3 linked regions of the Schizosaccharomyces pombe genome follow. Changing the gene in region 3 together with the main gene of any one other region gives a genetic interaction. Each region holds a gene or a part of one and is shown on either strand. Other genes may lie near its edges.

Region 1 (6,853 bases), 3.4 Mb from region 3:
AACCAGTTACTTCACCAGGTATAAAAAAATTCTTTTTATTAAACGTTGCTGCACACCCCCTCACAGAATGAGCCCATGAAGCAAGAAAATCAACTGTAATTTGAGTAGCTTTATCAATACGAAAACCATCCACATCTAACATGGCAATGATCATACATGCGAAGTGTTTTAACTTTTCTGAAACCGATGGCCTCCATTCTCTAAGTCTATCTTGGACAGAAGCAAACTTTGAAAGCTGACGTTCCCAATCAGGATGAGTACCAAAGGCTTCTGTATCGCCATACTGATCGAAATCTGAATCATAACAACCAACATAATCAATCACAACAGGCGCGCCATCTTCACCCCAAAATCTGGGAAGCTCACACTTTGGGTCATATTTATTTGTGAAATTCCAGTCTGGATAAATGACGTTGCTTTTCCACACCGCCTCATGTTCAAATAAAGAAAATGGAGTAGTACTGTTCAGATACTTCCGAAACCCTATAAGATCTCCCAACGTAGAAATTGTAAGGTCCAGAACTAAATAAAACCCTCTACGATGGATTTCTTCTATCGTGTCACGCCATTGTGCAATTGTTCCAGAATGGTGATCGAGGATGGTGTAGTCCAGTGGTGAGTACTGATCAGCACCCCATGGCTGATTTAAAAATGGTGTACCGGCGATGTAGATAACCTTATTCGTTAACGAGCATAAAAGCATAACTCTATCTTACCTTTATTCCCATAATCTCCAAATAATCTAGTGAGTCTTTCAGGCCTATTATATCCCCTCCGTTTCGAAAACCAGTTTCATAAATATCATACTCATAAATAGTATTGTTAGCTTCATTATTTCTAGGATCACCATCTTTCCATTTATCCAAAATAACTGTGTAAAATGGCACTTGCCAATCATCTGGACTGGGATGGTATTGATGGTTTTCCCATTTTCCCCAATAATCTAGAGGATCGGTAGCTGATTGATTTTGGTTTAAATTCCATAAAGATTCTCTTTCATCATATTTAGCAGTAAAGACCAACCTTGGTATACTTAATATCAAATTCAAGACGAGAATATTCTTATTTCGCATCGTTTATGGTATTTCCTCAATTGACGTGAAGAAGCTGCCCTGTTCAAAATAGTTTTATTAAAATTAATGCGATCGTTAATGCTATTATATATGAATTTATCAAGATTTTTCCCGATTCAAATGATGGTTGCTTCTAAATACGAGAAGAGTACAATAACCAATAAGTCAACTTTTTGGAATGTAAACAAACAAACGAACCTAAAAAATTTATATTAATTTTTGCTTACACATGCATTTCTATTTTAAAAATAAATTTTAAAAAAATTAAGAAGGAATTTTATTTTATAATTAAATCGCAGTTTGCGCTTTTGTATGCAAACGGTCATTCAGTTAATAAGCTTATACTTAAGAAGAGTTGAAGCGAATTTCGATACAGATAATATTTATTAATTATGTATTAAGGAAAATCAATAATTTTGCTTTCATCGGACTTGGTTTTAGTTCAATTTACCTGTGAACGACTTCACAAGGTTCATTGTAAAGATTACTGGCACATATTCATGTGTAATTTTATTTAAAATCAATCGAGAACATGACTGCGGAAAACCTAAGGAAATAAATTAACTAGCATTGTTGGCGTTAGGGAACCGAGTATCTATAAAACTGAAACCTCCGACAACCATACTCCAAATATCTATTTTACGAGCATTGCCTATTATTTTGAGAATAAGCGCAGTCGTTAAGGCTTTATTTTAATTTATTTCTATTTATTTTTTCTTTGCATTTACATCGTTGATCATCATTCTTTTTCACGTGTTTTAGTCGTTCTTTTCAAAGCTCATTACCTGGTTGAATTTTAGCCTGGTTATTTGAGTATAATTATAACAAACTTTTTTATTTTTTAATGTTTATTGCCTTCCTTTTTTTGTAAATTAATAATGTTCAACGACCAGTCGAAAACAACTTCATCTGTGAAAGGTATATGTGCCACTACTGACAACAATCATGGTAATTTAAAAAAAACTAATTCAACTCCTTTCAGGAAAAACTATTTGCTAAATGGGAGAACTAAATTGAAGCTGGAAAATTTTGCGTACAATGCATCTACAGAAATTAGTTCACCTAAAATCTCTGAAAAAAAGCATTCTTCATTACCAATTAAACGAAAGAATACTTTTAATGAATCCTCAACATCTTTTTCCCCATTTACTAAAGCTCATAAAGAAATTACTGACGATTTAAAGCCTGACAAATCTTTCACGCGGAAATCTGACTTGAATAGCCAAGACATGCCAGGTATGATTTTTCTTGTATTCAGACGTGTATTTTAACTTTTAGAAGTATGTTTTCAAGAAACTTCGAAGGATTTGTGTCGTAGCTCTTCTACTCAACATTTGCTGGATCATCAAACGACGGACTCAACGATTATAGATATGAAACCAGTGTCAACGAACTCAAAATCTGATGTGTTTACATTATATACGGATGAAACTGTCCTATTACGACGATGTGCTTCAGATAATAAGCCACTGATAAACAATAATTTGTCGAGTTCAAATGTTTCGGAAAACCAGAGTAGAAGCTTCGGATCGTATGATGAAGTAAAAAACCAAGGAAATAACCTGCATAAAGTCCCTAGCTTGGTGTCTATAATTCGTAATGCAAGATCATCTGAGCAATCAAGAATTGCTGCAAATTCCAGTTGTCTTCTCAAAGGATCAGATACCGAAATTGACGAGGATGATTTTGCCTTAGAAGCTGAAGATCTGGCAGCATTAGATTCCCTTGAACGCCAATACTCACAATTACCTAATTCTACAGTAACTGCTTCTGCAAAGGACATAGAAAAGACAGCTAAGGTCAACCATGTGGGAGGTGATTTGCAATCTTATTGTTCAGCAACAAAAGCATCTGATGCTACAATAAATGAAGAACCTGTGAACCTTGCTCTTGATAAAGCTTGTAATTCATTGCCGGATATCAATAGCGACTTTATCGATGATTGGGATGATTCGTGTGATGGATGCACTCCTGGTGAATTGTGCGAGTTTTCCTCCGAATACACAGTATTAGAAGTTCACGAAGACTTCATTTTTCATGAAGGGAATCACTTTCGACAATTAAAGTTGATTTTGGAAGCAAATGATATACTGCATCAGTTATTTTTACGCGGTGATTGGACTGAGACTAGTATTTTTGTAGGGGATTCTATCCGTGTTGAAGCTACATTTGACAAAGATAATACCGCTATCGTTGACAACGATAAAGGACTTATTATCATACATCCGAAAATTTTAATGTCTGCTACGGCAGTGGCCAGCTCTTTTCCTTGTTTGAGGAAAGCCGTAATATCTGACAGGGTTGGCATTTATGGACCTCCTACAAAAGCTATGGTAACTGGAAACATTTTACATGATTTTTTTCAACACGCATTATACAGAGGTATTGATGCCCTTGAAAATGTTGATATCAACCTTGAAACATCAATAAAAACATACATCTCTGATATCTATTTTGCTGATTTGTCGCTCGATGAAATTCGAGAGGAACTTGATGCGAGGCTTCCCCTTCTTAAATCTATTGTTGAAAGATATTTAATAAGTAAAAAAAATGACAACAACAATGAAAGTATTCACATTTCAAGGCTTCTCGATATTGAGGAATCCATATGGTCACCCAGATTTGGATTAAAAGGTAATATCGATGCTACAGTTGAGGTGGTTTTAACTGAAAAACCTGAGTCTTCGTCAACCCTCACACTTCCGTTAGAGCTTAAAACTGGCCGATATGTCGACAATATTAGCCATTTTGCTCAAAGTTTGCTTTATACATTACTCATTTCAGATCGTTATGGTATCAATACTAATCAGGCATTATTATGCTATTTGGAAAATAGTACTATCAAGAATTTGGTTGCAAGTAACTCCCAACTTCGAGGGTTGATCATGACAAGAAATTCTCTTGCACAGCATAACTTTAGGCGCAGCCTTCCTGAAATGATTTCGAACCGAAAAATTTGCGATCACTGCAGTTTAGTTTCTGAATGTTTGTTCTTTCAAAAGATGAGTGATAAAGGAGTAGCTAATAGTAACGGCTTGACTGAGTCATGGAATGAATGGATGCGCGAAGTAAAAGATGAGGATCTTGAATTTTATAAGAAGTGGGAGAAGTTATTAAATCAAGAGGAACGACTCTTACTACTAAAAAGAGGCGATGTGTTGACTTTTGATACAGAAGAGCTAGAAGCTTATGGAAAAACTCTGTATCCTTTATACATTACTAAAGAGGATATCGTTTGTTTAGAAATTGATGACAGGGTTTTTCATTACAAATTCGCTTTTTTAAATGACAATGGTTATCCTCGAAATTTCTTGCACTCAGGCTTCAGCGTTGGTGAACGAGTATTTATTTCTGATGAACATGGACACTGGTCACTAGCTAAAGGACACATAGTCCATATTCAAGATTCATGTATTGAAGTACGAACTCGTCATCGACTTCATATTCCATGGCTAAAGATGCCTAACTTTGATTTCAAAAAAAACCAGGTATTTTTTGGTAACTATGAAGATTCCAAATTGTCATTTATCGGAAGTAACCATACGAGGTACAGAATTGATAAGGACGAATTTTCGAGCGGAATTGCATCAATAAGAGGTACCTTGATGTCTTCTGTATTACCAGATGCTCCCTTAATTATAAGGGACATGATTATCCGTTTGAAGCCTCCAAAATTTTGTAATAGTGCATTAATCGATCCTGAATTTTTGAAATGTTTAAACGAAGATCAAATTACAGCTTTAAAGAAATGCCACGCTGCAGAACATTATAGTTTGATACTCGGAATGCCTGGAACGGGGAAAACCACTACAATTTCTAGCTTAATCAGATCATTGCTTGCCAAAAAGAAGAAAATACTTCTTACTTCTTTTACGCATTTAGCAGTTGATAACATTTTAATTAAACTGAAGGGTTGTGATAGCACAATCGTCCGCTTAGGATCTCCTCATAAAATCCATCCCCTAGTAAAAGAATTTTGTTTGACTGAAGGAACGACGTTTGACGACTTAGCGTCATTAAAACATTTTTACGAAGACCCCCAAATAGTTGCATGCTCTTCTCTAGGGGTATATCAGTAAGTAATTGAAAGCGACGGCAATGAACAAACTACTAACAACATTAGTTCCATTTTCAATAAAAGAAAATTCGATTATTGTATAATTGATGAGGCATCCCAAATACCTCTACCAATTTGCTTAGGCCCTTTGCAGCTTGCTGAAAAATTTGTTTTAGTTGGTGATCATTATCAACTTCCTCCTTTAGTAAAAAATTCAAGAACATCTAAGGATGGTTTGTCGCTCAGTCTATTTAAATTACTATCAGAAAAGCATCCTGAAGCCGTTACCACTTTAAGACTACAATATCGTATGAATGAAGACATTAATTCATTATCTAGTGAACTTATTTATGGCGGCAATTTGGTGTGTGGGTCCAAGACGATATCCCAAAAAAAATTAATTTTGCCAAAAGCTCATCTAAGTGATGGTTTACCCGATTCGTCGTCTAGCCTACATTGGGTCAACAAGTTAATCAATCCTAGTCATTCAGTCATATTTTTTAATACCGATGATATTCTGGGAGTTGAATCAAAAACTAATAATATTCTAGAAAATCATACTGAAGCTTTTTTGATAGAACAAGCAGTTTCCTCCTTCTTGGAACGAGGCGTTAAGCAAAGTTCTATCGGGATAATTTCAATTTACAAAAGTCAGGTGGAGTTGCTTTCTAAGAATCTTAAATCATTCACTGAAATAGAAATTAACACTGTCGATCGTTATCAAGGAAGAGACAAGGACATCATTTTAATATCTTTTGTGAGATCCAACAGTAAAAACTTAGTGAGTATTGAACCAATTATTTACACAACTGCTAACCATTTATTTAGGTTGGAGAATTGCTACGCGATTGGCATCGTTTGAACGTTGCTTTAAGCAGGGCGAAAGTGAAATGTATTATGTTTGGCTCGTTATCTACTCTTTCGTCTTCAAATATAGTTTCTCATTTATTGAAATTATTAGAAAAAAACAAATGGATTTTCACGTTAAATGAGAATGATATAGCAACGAAATTTGACGAGAATAGCTCTCCAATTAAGGATTGTTCTCAGGTTGCAACGACAAATAATGCTAAAGTTATTATTAGAAAGAACCAAAGGTTTTTTAATAGTGACAATTTATGTGAAAAAGCTATTTTACCTCAACTGGAATTTTGATAATCTACTTCAAAAAACTCAATATTTTACTGGATACGATCTTCATAATGAAGAATGTATATATAAATGCCTAAAATAAAATTCATCTGATCCTTGTTCATGAATATAAGTATTAATCCCTCCATGATATATAAACATCGTCAGTACGATATCTTTGAGTAATCGTCGATTCTGCGACGGCACATCGGTCCCCGGTTTTATAAGCCAACAACCCTGCTTGGGCTATCATTATACCATTATCAATACAGAAACGTTCATCTGTAGAAAAAACATCAGCGCCTCTATCCGAACTCATTTCAGCCATCATTTGTTGGAGACGTTCATTGCATCCAACACCTCCAACAATTAAAACAGAATCAGCTCTGATATGTGCCATCGCGCGTTCTGTAATTTCAACTAGCATTGCAAAGCCAGTTTCCTGTAAAGAGTAACAAAGATCTTGCTTTGTAACAGAACTCGGATTTTTTGGGTCTAATAGCTCTGTAGCTGCCGCTTCAACCCCTGACAACAATCCGGAAAATGAACAATCCATACCTTTAACAGTATAGGGTAACTCTATAAATCTTTT
Region 2 (6,571 bases), on a different chromosome or scaffold from region 3:
GGTGAAAAAAGATAGAAAAAGGAATTGAGAAAGAAGAGTATAAAAAAAAAGAAAGAAATGCGAAGAGAAATTAATAAATGGAATAAAATAAGGGAAAATAAATTAAAATAGAACAAATTCAGTGTCAATGGAATTCAAAAAATGCAAACCAATCTCGTACGCCCTCAAAAAAAGCAATTTTATAGTAAGCCGGAATGAAAACGATTGATGCTTTCAAAGTTATGCGATGAACCAGAGAAACTCCCGTCCTCTATTAATAAAAGACTTTGACATAAAATTACGAATACAGAAAGAAAGAAAAAAAGAAAGAAAGAATTGTATCGCAATATCAATGCAACAGTCTGTTTATTCGGTTTGTGATGCCACAATAAAAGGGTTAGGGCGGAAGGAATAATATAGGATGATCTGATTGAAACAACCCAAAAAGGAAAGAAAGCTCCCAAGCGTTTCAGAGGAATCAAGTTTCGTAGGTTTATAGACAGAGAAAGAGAGAAAGCAAAAGCAGTATATTATGAAAGGTAATGACTTGATCAAAAAAACAACCTCTTCTAATGAAACGTTTGGGATAAATCAAAATCGATGCCTAAGAAAAGATTATAGGACTTTATGGTTTTTAAATATATGTGTAAATGTTAAATAACTTATAACCCACCACCAAGGGATCTTCGTGGACGGCGAGCGGAGTGGATAAGAAAATGGCTGGTTGTATGTTCGCGACGGAAGAACAAAATTGGTCTTTGACTAGCAAATTTTCCAAATTTAGATTACATGATTTAAACGATAAATAGGGCAAATAAAGTGTACAAAAAGATATTTGATCAATTTATATGATGTTGAGCACAAGCTGAATAGTAAACAATGCGAACGCAATTAAAATAAAATAAGTCAATACAGCATAGTCATAGAAATCGATCAATTGAGGTTATCCGGATTAAAGCTAATTATTTTAGATGATGTTTTTCATATTTGTAAATCGGTAATACAATTATGAGCTGGTCGGACAGAAAAAGTGAGCACATAAATTGCAGCAAGTAGAAAAGCAATAGGCAATATAAAGTAAAGGAGTTCATTCATGACTTCCCTTTTTATATAAGCGTTTTTTTTTTTAGTGGAAAGTCGACCAGGATGCAGTTGAATGTTGATATTAACTTTGTTAGGACTAGTGAAAATTCAGATTTGTACTTTTTTTTTAAGGAGTTCAAGACTTTTTTACTACATATTCAACATTGAAATCACCTTATCTATAGAAGAAGTAGATAAACTTAGCCCAAAACAGCATACTGATGACTTATAGCTTCTCATCCCTTCATAATATTAATGCGGTTTACTGCTGCTGTAACAATTCTTCTGATATATTAAGTATACGTATTTTTCCCTTCGAGGATAATCTTTTCTTAATATACCTGTTGCTCTCTCAAATTGCTAAGCAGACAAGTAAACAAATCAATTGTTTCATTGAACGAACCAGGACGGCTATATAAACTTATTATTATAATTTAAATCAAATTTTAAACATTCAACTCTGGAAACACTAACAAAAGCCTTTTTTTATGTCGCCTTTTAGCATGTGTTTCGAGTGGAAACCCTCCATGCAAAAGAAATTGAAGGTGAAAGCAATATACTAAAGCAAAACATTAATTCATCAAGCAATACGCAATTTACATATTAATGGTCTTTGATTTAGAAAATCGTATAAATTAGAATTTTTCATCATCTTACCGTTATAACGAGTTCGTAGCTACTTTCGCAGAAAGTTTGTGGTCAAATTATCTTGTCTTTTTCTCCACCACCAAACCCTCGTTTTCACGGGAAACATTCAGCATTGTCGATTCGATCGTCAAACTGATTGTTTTTATAGTAGCAATGGATTACCGGCATCCAAATGCACTCGGTGTGAATGAGAGCTCGCGTGCTTATGAGGAAATTTTTGGTGCTCCAAGAAAACGGGAGCCGGCGAGAACTGTAAGTACTCCTGCGTTCATGGAACCGGCTCCAGTCTCAAAAAAACCTCTTCCTCCTCCCACGCGAAGGCTTCCTCGGAAACCTTTGCCCTTTCGTTCCACGAGTTTGCAGCCTCCATCGTCTCAACCTCCTGCACCTCCAACTCATCAGAGAGAAGCATCTCCTGTGAAAAATATTGAGCACAGTGAATCTTTTCCTTCCGTTTTTGGTACTTCAAATAATCACCAGATCGTCCCATTGACTCTTAAAGACGGAAATGATTTTGGTGCTCTATATGCATCTTTAAACACCACACCCCATTTTCCTCAGGTATCGAATCATGCGCCCAATAACTCTAATTCCCCTTCTTTGACTTGGCACACATCATCCGGTGATGATTCCAACCAAAATCCTTTTTTCGTTCGGCGTCAGTCTCAGAGTAGCACGTCTCCGGTTTCGGATTCAGTAGATGAGAACCTCCTTTCAGCAGTCTCTTCTGTTACAGAGTCCGTAGAAACAAACCTTCATCTCGATCAAAATTATCCTTACGGCTCTCCTGTTCGTTCGTCTAAAAATCCCTTTCTCTCTTCAAATTCTCGATTACCAACTGATGATTCTTCTCACACTGTTGGTTCTCATTCATTTACTTCAGGAACTCACCCACCCATTGTTTCTTCTAATTCCGCCTTTACACTTCCCAATGCTGTTACTCCTGCAGCTCAAGCACCTCTCATACGTAGTGTTAGTGAATATCCTGCTAACGTTTCTCCACCTGCCCAGTCCCTTCAGCTACCAAAATCTACTAGCAATCCCGCGGATCTTCATTTAAGCATAGCTTCTGCTAGCAGCCATAAGAATATTTTTTCTGGGTTGGACGTCTTTTCTAATGTCTTTCATGGTCCCTCTACCACATTACGAGACAGAGAACATGATATGCGAAATCGCTCATTTGATCATTCTACCTTGGCTCATTATGAAGCAGTTAAGCAGCAGAGACTTGGTGTTGAACCTACTGCAAGGTCCTTTACGTTGAGCTCTTATAAGTCCCGTGCAAGTGGAAATTCCCTAATTAATGATCGAAGCTCTACAACAACGCCGACGTTTGTTAATTCGGAAGCTAGCTCGCCTGTTCATAAAAATAAACGAAGACGCAGAATATATGCTGCCTTACTTTCTCGTGTTGCCAGCGAATTGTTAGATAGACTACAGCTAGGTGATATCACGAAAGACGGTTTAATTTATTCTAATGCCTTTACTGGCGATCATGCAGTCACCGTGCTAATGGGTATTATACATACTTCTGATAGAAATCTCGCTTTACTTGTCGGACGCTCTTTAGATGCACAAAAATTTATTCATGATGTTACCTATGATCATCGTCTTCGTGATTCTCATCGTGAAATATATCAGCTTCAAGGTACTGGTTATCGCCCCTTCTTACGCGCAAATGATAATGCATCCATTAACAACAAAAACCATCATAAGGAATTGGAGGACAATGAGTCGGGCACTCGAATCTCACCGTCCACGTTAGGTGACACTTCTTTTCCAAATGGTATATTTACTTTATTGACGCATTGTTACTCTCCAACATGTGCAAAAGATCATCCCTGCTATTCTATTTCATGTCCTCGACGATTGGAACAGCAGCACAGACTATTTGCCAAAATGCGTGCAAACACTGAACAGTCTTCCTCCCTAGCGTTTGATGATAAGGAACAAAAATTGTGGATTCACAGCGTACCCCAGGAGATTGCTTATAGTGTCAGTGACCGGGAAAGAAAGCGTCAAGAAGTAATTTGTGAGGTTATCTATACTGAGCGAGATTTTGTTAAGGATTTGGAATATCTTCGGGATTATTGGATTAAACCACTATGGGCTTCATCTTGTATACCTGAACGAAAAAAAGAAAAATTTATTCGTACTGTGTTTTTAAATGCTTTAGAGGTTCAAGCAGTTAATTCTAAATTGGCTGAAGCTCTTACTAAAAGACAAAACTATAAACCCATTGTGGATAATATTGCGGATATATTTTTGGAGCACGTTCCAAAATTTGAGCCTTTCATACGATATGGTGCAGGCCAACTCTACGGAAAATACGAGTTTGAGAAGGAAAAGTCATCTAATCCTGCATTTGCTAAGTTTGTCAGTGACGTTGAACGTCTGAAAGAATCACGAAAGCTAGAGCTAAACGGCTATCTGACTAAACCAACTACCAGATTGGCTCGTTATCCATTACTTCTAGAAGCGGTATTAAAATATACTGATGAGGGTAACCCTGATAAACAAGACATTCCGAAGGTCATTAATATCGTTAGAGGATTTCTCTCACGTCTTAATGTTGAAAGCGGAAAAGCAGAAAATAAGTTTAACTTGTTTCATTTGAATCAACAGCTGGTCTTTAAACCTGGAGAACATTATGATTTACATCTGCTTGATGCGAACAGACAATTAATATTCAAAGGACCCTTGAAGAAAAGAAGTGCTGGTTCCACTTCTTCAGAGTCTGCGTCGGATGTTACTTTGTTTCTCTTTGACCATGCTTTGTTGATAGTAAAACCAAAGACTATTAATAAACGTGAATTATTGAAAGTTTTTCAAAGAGTATGTTTTTTCTATTCATTTAAATTGTTTTTTCTAACTAGTATAGCCTATTCCTCTATTACTTCTTCAACTATTCCTTGTTGATGATAATGGATTAAGAATCCCTTATTCAAGTAAGCAACAACTAGCAGCTGTATCAAAAGCAGCGAATGGGAAGCCACCTTCTAGATTTTATCCATTTAGCTTACAACTTTTGGGTCGTAGAGGGTACGAAATCACTCTTTATGCAACCACTGAAGTTAGTAGGGATAAGTGGTTAGAGCATATTGACAACCAACAAACATTGCTACAACATCGTAACCAGTGGTTTGAGTCTGTTACCATTTGCTCTAATTTCTTTGTTGGTGATAATAAAGTAAATGCGATAGGCGTTTATGATAGTGGTCGTCGACTTTTATATGGGACTGACACAGGTGTGTACGTCTCTCTTCGAAAAGCAAACAGCCCACTTCAATTCAAGCCTGTACGTGCGTTAAATATTCCCAACATTTCACAGCTTGAGGTTATTGAAGAGTATAGTTTATTGCTACTGCTTTCCGATAAGGTGTTATATTCGTATCCTTTGGAAATGATTGATGCGGATACTACTCAAGCCCCTAAAAAAGCAAGGAAAGTTTCTGGTCATACAACTTTCTTTCGCGTAGGAATTTGTCTGGGTAAAGTTCTTGTGTGTGCTGTCAAAAGTTCCGTCTTGAGTGCTACTATAAAGGTTTTTGAACCAGTCACTAATTACTCTAAAACACGGAACATGCCAAGCTTGAAAAAATTCCTTACTGTTAACCAAGACCCATTGAGGATTGTCAAAGAGCTTTATATACCCACGGAATCAACTTCGGTTCACTTCCTGAAGAATAAACTCTGTGTCGGATGTACGAGAGGTTTTGAGGTGGTCAGTCTCGATAACCTAGAGACGCAGTCTCTACTGGATCCAGCCGATACGTCTCTTGAATTTGTGGAGAAGAAAGAAAATGTTAAACCTATCGCTATCTATCGTATGAATGGCGGTGAATTTCTTTTATGCTATTCCCAATTTGCTTTTTACGTAAATCGAGATGGATGGCGTTCTCGTCCTACATGGTTTGTTGTTTGGGAAGGAAGTCCTCAAAACTTTGCCTTAAGTTATCCTTATATATTGGCTTTTGAACCCACTTTTATTGAAATCAGACATGTTGAAACCTCTGAATTGATCCATGTCATTTCCGGCAGAAACATCCGTTTGCTTGCTGATGGAAGAGGAAAGTTAGGGGACGGTGGTGAAATATTTTATGCGTGCGATCAACGTGGTGAAAATTGTGAGACAAGTGTTGTTTGTTCCCTTCGATTGACGAGTGCTGCTGCCCACGCCAAAGAGCAGCATGTAGACAAGTAATTTTGGTTTTTTTGAACTTAATTTTCACGTTTTATTTATAACGGTTAATTGGATATTGGTTTGTTCGGTTATCTTTTCTTTTCTTTTTTAAAAAAATAATTTAGGTGCATGAATTTTAATGATAAATAAGATTTTTTTAAAATATATACGTTAACAATATTTTAAAGTGAATAACTAGATATATTGTAGGCAAAAAGTACTAGCGAATATGATCAATGTTACTATACTAGAAGTAAAATATTTTTAGTCCTCATATTCTAGGGGATCACCATATACCCAGAAACCGATATGATTTAGACGTGCTTCTTGCTGATGCTCTTCTAGAATATTGAGGGATGCGGTATCTTTTTCAAAGTGAGATGTTTTTTTCTTGGGAATAACACTAGCCATGCCGAGCGCAACCAGTTGGGCATTAATACAGTCAGAAAAATCTGAACCATCACTAGGATTATACAAAGTTACAGAATACACGTTTCCTTCGTGTCCATCGACTTTAGCCACTAGACCTTTATTCATGGCTAGCTCCCTGAAAACGAGTCTTGCGTCTTCATAGTAATCAGAGCTGGGAGGAGGTAATTGAACGTAACTGAGACGAGCAAGTTGCGCTTGAGGCTTCAATTTAGTATAGGTATCTGGTAAAGAGGATATGTTTTTGAA
Region 3 (4,665 bases):
GTTTTACTGAAGGTTGTTGCGAGACGGATTAAATAGTTTACTCCATTCCATTTAGAATGTGGGGAGCTAATTAAGGATCTTTAAAGATAAATTTGTACGATTTAATCAAAGAAATGTTGTATTTTAAGATTTTGTATGTAATTAACAAAATTTGTCGCAAAACAGTCTTTTTGCTCAGTTATATTATTATTACTCAATTAAAGAATGTAACCTGCTGTTATTGGTATCTAAATCGCTTCCTTATTAAAGTTGTTTATTTATAAAGTAAATTTAAAAAAATCATGGTTCATATTCCTGTTAAAATAGGATTGCATTTTCGTAGACTCGTATTTACTTCAAAACAATCTGGTAATTTATTTCTTCAACAGTTTCAATTCTAAAACAATTGATAAGTTTACTGTATATTTTACTTCATATTAAAAGATATCATTGCATTCTTTTAGCGGTGATTTCAATCAAGCCATTATAGCGTAAATTACCCATCAAGGAACTTTAATATGTAAGCAACAGAACTAATTACTCCAAAAATTCAGATCATATATAATTACTTTAAATCTAGTTAAATGTAAGTGAAGTACCAAATCATAAGGAAAGGAGTCACTTTGTAATCAATGTATGCAAAATCATAAATCGTAGTTTTCGCGATTTAAGCCAAAAACTCAATTACTCGACCAGCGAGACGTAAAACACAATGTTTTATTGAGCAGACTCAATGAAATTTATCAATCTTTTAGACTCTTCCTTCCAGTCCATTTGATTAATTGACATCACTGTATAGCGTACTCGCATTTCACCTTTAAAATTGTCTTGCTTAGCACGACATTGAAAGATATATGGCATATAGCAAGCTTCTGCCATACAATTCATAAAGGCATTTTCGTCGTTTTCTTGTAGATCATTCAATTCGTCTGCCGTTTTATGCATGATTAATTTACCGACGTCGTCAAAGACGTTGAGCCAGAGTTGTCCCGTATGATCACCTACAGCAATAGTTATAATATAACGGTATTGAGGAGCATCATATTCTTTATTACATTTCTCACATCGCCAGGAGCCACCTTGATCAAAAACCTTTTTGTTGCAATCAGCAGCAGGGCAAGCAGGATATGACACGTTTTTCTTTCGAATGTAAACAATGGTGCCCTTTAAGCTAAAATAATCGGGTGTTTCTGACATTCCCAGATGTTCGGCTTGAACCTCAGCAATATTTTTACGTTCAGCACTCCTTCCAGTAGTAGATAAAGTAGATGAAATTACGCTATGTTTGGCAAATTCCTGCCCTCTACCCTGTCCATCATACCAACCTTTTAACAAATGAGATTCCTGGATATCTGGATCTACCGACATGGTGCTGCTAGTTAACATTGACAAAGAGCGTCCTTGAAAGTCATTAACTTTAACTCCTTTGAAAGCGAGAATACTTTCTTCAGAAACAGAGAATTCAATAGCTGTCTTTCCCCAAAGCGTAACACGCATTTCATATCCTGTTTGGTCAACGATAGTGATATCACGCTTGTCAAATCCACGAGAAGTTGCACGACTGGTAATTTGTTGAACTGGTCCAACGTTTTGGAGTACACCAATTACATCGATAACAGCATCTTTGGCAACATCGCCGACTTCTTGTAGAGAAACAAAACTAAACTTCGCAACGGGGACGGCAGTTTGATCCTCAGCTTTCCTTATTTCAGTATCACGTTCAAACATCAGCTCATACTCGTTTTGAACATTGGTATATTGTTTTTTTGCAATGTTCACACGACAACGAGATATATAATAAACCGAACCTTCCTGTAAGATATCATAAAAAGCATCAACCTGGTCATTAAAGCCTGTTGCACGAATCTCCCCACTTTCATCGAGTAAATTTACGCTAAAAAGCTTTCCTTCACCTCGTTGATTATGCCAATGTTTAACCTCAGATTTGTTAGTAACACGGGCACGAATAGTCCATTTATTCTGATATGGAGAGAGACCTTCAATTGGGTAGATTATTGTGCTAAGGCTATTCGGCGCTGCTGGCTTCTTCATCATGGGAGGTGGAGCCGGTGCTGTAGCTGCAGCATTGTTTCCATAAAATGAGTTAGTGCTTGTCGAAATACCTGTTCGTGGTGCGCTAGCATTGTTTTGCTCATTTTGCTGCTGCCGTAAAGCGTCAACTGTTTCTAAACCAGCGGGATTACCAATTTTATCCATTACGCCAAGTTCAGTTAAAACATTCAAACCAAGAACAATCAAAATTTTTCTTTCTTTCATAACGTTTACAGTGAATTGGGTAAGCTGTACGAACGCTCCTTTTTGAAGTTTATTTTCGGCAACCAAATGGTTCAGCTGGGTGCTTAACATAGATTGCGCATAATTGATTGAATCGGAAAGGACAACACGATATCTTTTAGGAGCACCAGAAGTTGGATTTGAGTTTAGCTCCTTCACGGTTAAGACTTGGAGAATTGGATTAGGAGGAAAAGACGAAGCATCGGATGTACTAAAGAAACGTGTTAACATCCCAATTTGTCGAAATCTTTTGAGTATATAATTTGGACAGTTAACTTACTTGATTATACGAAGTGCACCCACGGATAATCGCTCAGCCATGTTTGCAAATTCTTTTTTTTTTAATTAGTGGTTGGTTTAAGGCAAAAGAACGAAGCCGCGTCGCGTTATCCCAAATGAAAAACGCGAACGCGTCATGACGCGTCGTAACACATTTTAATATTACGCGTAACTTTAAGATGTGTTGTTTGTGTACGTGCATGTCAACAATGGTTGTTTACTTTCAAAGTTATCCTTTGCGCACAACACATTGCTATAGAAAAGCCCTTAAAAGCTGAAAAGAATAGTAGTGTTATTTAATTCTCTACAAAAGGAAATAAATCCTTTGTGATTTTCCTTTTGTTGGAAGAGTTGAACTACATTATCATCTGCATATTATTTATTATTTAGGAAAACCGGAGATATCAAAGTGAAAACGGGATTTTAACAGCTAATAAGCAAAAAAATATAACTTTATTTACATTCAGGTTTCAGTTAAAGATGGATTCATCAACCACCATCCCAATTACTCCAACGCGAACACCATGTTTTTTTAATATATCCTCTTCGTTTAATGAGCATTCTCCATTAAATTTCTACGATGAACCCATTTACAATTTTTCGTCTGGCCATGAAGAAAATCAGAGCCATAAGTCATCAAAACTGACATTCTTTAAACCTTCCAATACAAAAAGAAGTCCACATACCCCTATGCAAAATAATGCAAAAGCCATCAGATTATCCACTACAGTTCGCCACGGAATTTTTAAGAATTCAGATCTCGATGGGTGTAGCAAACCATTTGCATTTTCGAGCGGCTTGAAGTTATCCAAAAAAATTGTGGATGCTTCAACGCCAATTGATTTAAAACGAAAAAGGGCGGTGACTTCTTTAAGCACAGGACTGTTATCAAAACGTGAAAAGTGGTCATTATGGGAAGGGAATTTGACTAATCCAAGAAGTGAACAACCTCATACACCTTGTAAAAAGGGAACGAAAATAAAATTAAAACCACCTCAATCTCCGCTGTCACCCACTACCTCTCTTTTAGCTCGCAAATGTAAACATATCGACCTAGATACTTTTAGTCGGTTGGATCATCCAAACTCTGACAGCTCGGATGAAACGTTTGAAATGGAAGAACTTCCTTCTTTGTCTTATGGTTCAGAGGACTTGTTGGAATTTTGCGAAACGCCTTGCAAGAGTCAGCCTATTTTCCTTTCAAGTTCCCACGTTAATAACTGGGATGAGAAAGACGTACCTTCTTCATTAAGTTGGACACCTACCAGTCCAATTTTTTTAAACATCAACAGCGCAGATGATTACGAAGAAGAGGAAGATTGGACTAGTGATCTTCGAATTCGATTCCAACAAGTTAAGCCGATACACGAGAGTGATTTTTCATTTGTATATCATGTGTCTTCGATCAACCCACCTACTGAAACGGTTTACGTTGTAAAAATGTTAAAAAAAAATGCAGCCAAGTTTACAGGAAAAGAGCGTCACTTACAGGAAGTATCTATTTTGCAACGCTTGCAAGCATGTCCATTTGTAGTAAATCTAGTGAACGTTTGGAGCTACAATGATAATATATTTTTGCAATTAGATTATTGTGAAAACGGAGACCTAAGTTTATTTTTAAGCGAATTGGGATTATTGCAGGTCATGGATCCTTTTCGCGTGTGGAAAATGTTGTTTCAACTAACTCAAGTAAGTTATTACATATTTAAAAGTCGCGTTCCACAGACACGTCATTTGAATTCACTAACCGAACATAGGCATTAAATTTCATTCATCTTTTAGAATTTGTTCATTTAGACGTTAAGCCTTCCAACGTTCTTATAACTCGTGATGGTAACTTAAAGTTGGGAGACTTCGGACTAGCAACTAGTTTACCGGTCTCCTCGATGGTTGATCTCGAAGGCGACAGAGTCTATATAGCTCCCGAAATATTAGCTTCGCATAATTATGGGAAACCAGCCGATGTATATTCACTAGGCCTCAGTATGATTGAAGCCGCAACAAATGTAGTCCTGCCAGAAAATGGTGTTGAATGGCAACGACTAAGGTCTGGAGATTACTCAAATTTGCCAAATCTTAAAGACCTCCTTTTGTCGAAAGAAAAGGTTCAAA

What was found. Genes that interact genetically often act in the same process or in processes that back each other up.
Region 1: mutations in ssb1 (region 3) and dna2 are lethal when combined (synthetic lethality), as found in Schizosaccharomyces pombe (one study listed by BioGRID).
Region 2: mutations in ssb1 (region 3) and rgf1 impair growth when combined (synthetic growth defect), as found in Schizosaccharomyces pombe (one study listed by BioGRID).

Annotation. Positions count from the first base shown.
Region 1 is NC_003423.3:3,591,791-3,598,643, reverse strand, and holds dna2 (DNA replication endonuclease-helicase Dna2), read left to right. Parts: upstream 1-1,687; 5' UTR 1,688-1,951; coding exon 1,952-2,309; exon of another isoform or gene 2,310-2,354; coding exon 2,355-5,148; intron 5,149-5,196; coding exon 5,197-5,911; exon of another isoform or gene 5,912-5,933; intron 5,934-5,958; coding exon 5,959-6,285; 3' UTR 6,286-6,353; downstream 6,354-6,853. Other genes in the region: cell wall alpha-1,3-glucan synthase Mok13, read right to left, coding at 1-676, 717-1,073; kae1 (EKC/KEOPS complex N(6)-L-threonylcarbamoyladenine synthase subunit), read right to left, coding at 6,398-6,853. UniProt on the Schizosaccharomyces pombe protein: Key enzyme involved in DNA replication and DNA repair.
Region 2 is NC_003421.2:1,243,400-1,249,970, forward strand, and holds rgf1 (RhoGEF family guanine nucleotide exchange factor Rgf1), read left to right. Parts: upstream 1-1,786; 5' UTR 1,787-1,863; coding exon 1,864-4,545; intron 4,546-4,591; coding exon 4,592-5,914; 3' UTR 5,915-6,071; downstream 6,072-6,571. Other genes in the region: tudor domain and nuclease, Snd1, read right to left, coding at 6,158-6,571. UniProt on the Schizosaccharomyces pombe protein: Stimulates the exchange of Rho1 and Rho5 GDP-bound form into GTP-bound form. Controls septum formation, cell wall synthesis and localization of F-actin patches. Coordinates actin deposition with cell wall biosynthesis during bipolar growth.
Region 3 is NC_003423.3:218,666-223,330, forward strand, and holds ssb1 (DNA replication factor A subunit Ssb1), read right to left. Parts: upstream 2,634-4,665; 5' UTR 2,596-2,633; coding exon 2,555-2,595; intron 2,486-2,554; coding exon 697-2,485; 3' UTR 517-696; downstream 1-516. Other genes in the region: M phase inhibitor protein kinase Mik1, read left to right, coding at 3,034-4,242, 4,311-4,665. UniProt on the Schizosaccharomyces pombe protein: As part of the replication protein A (RPA/RP-A), a single-stranded DNA-binding heterotrimeric complex, may play an essential role in DNA replication, recombination and repair.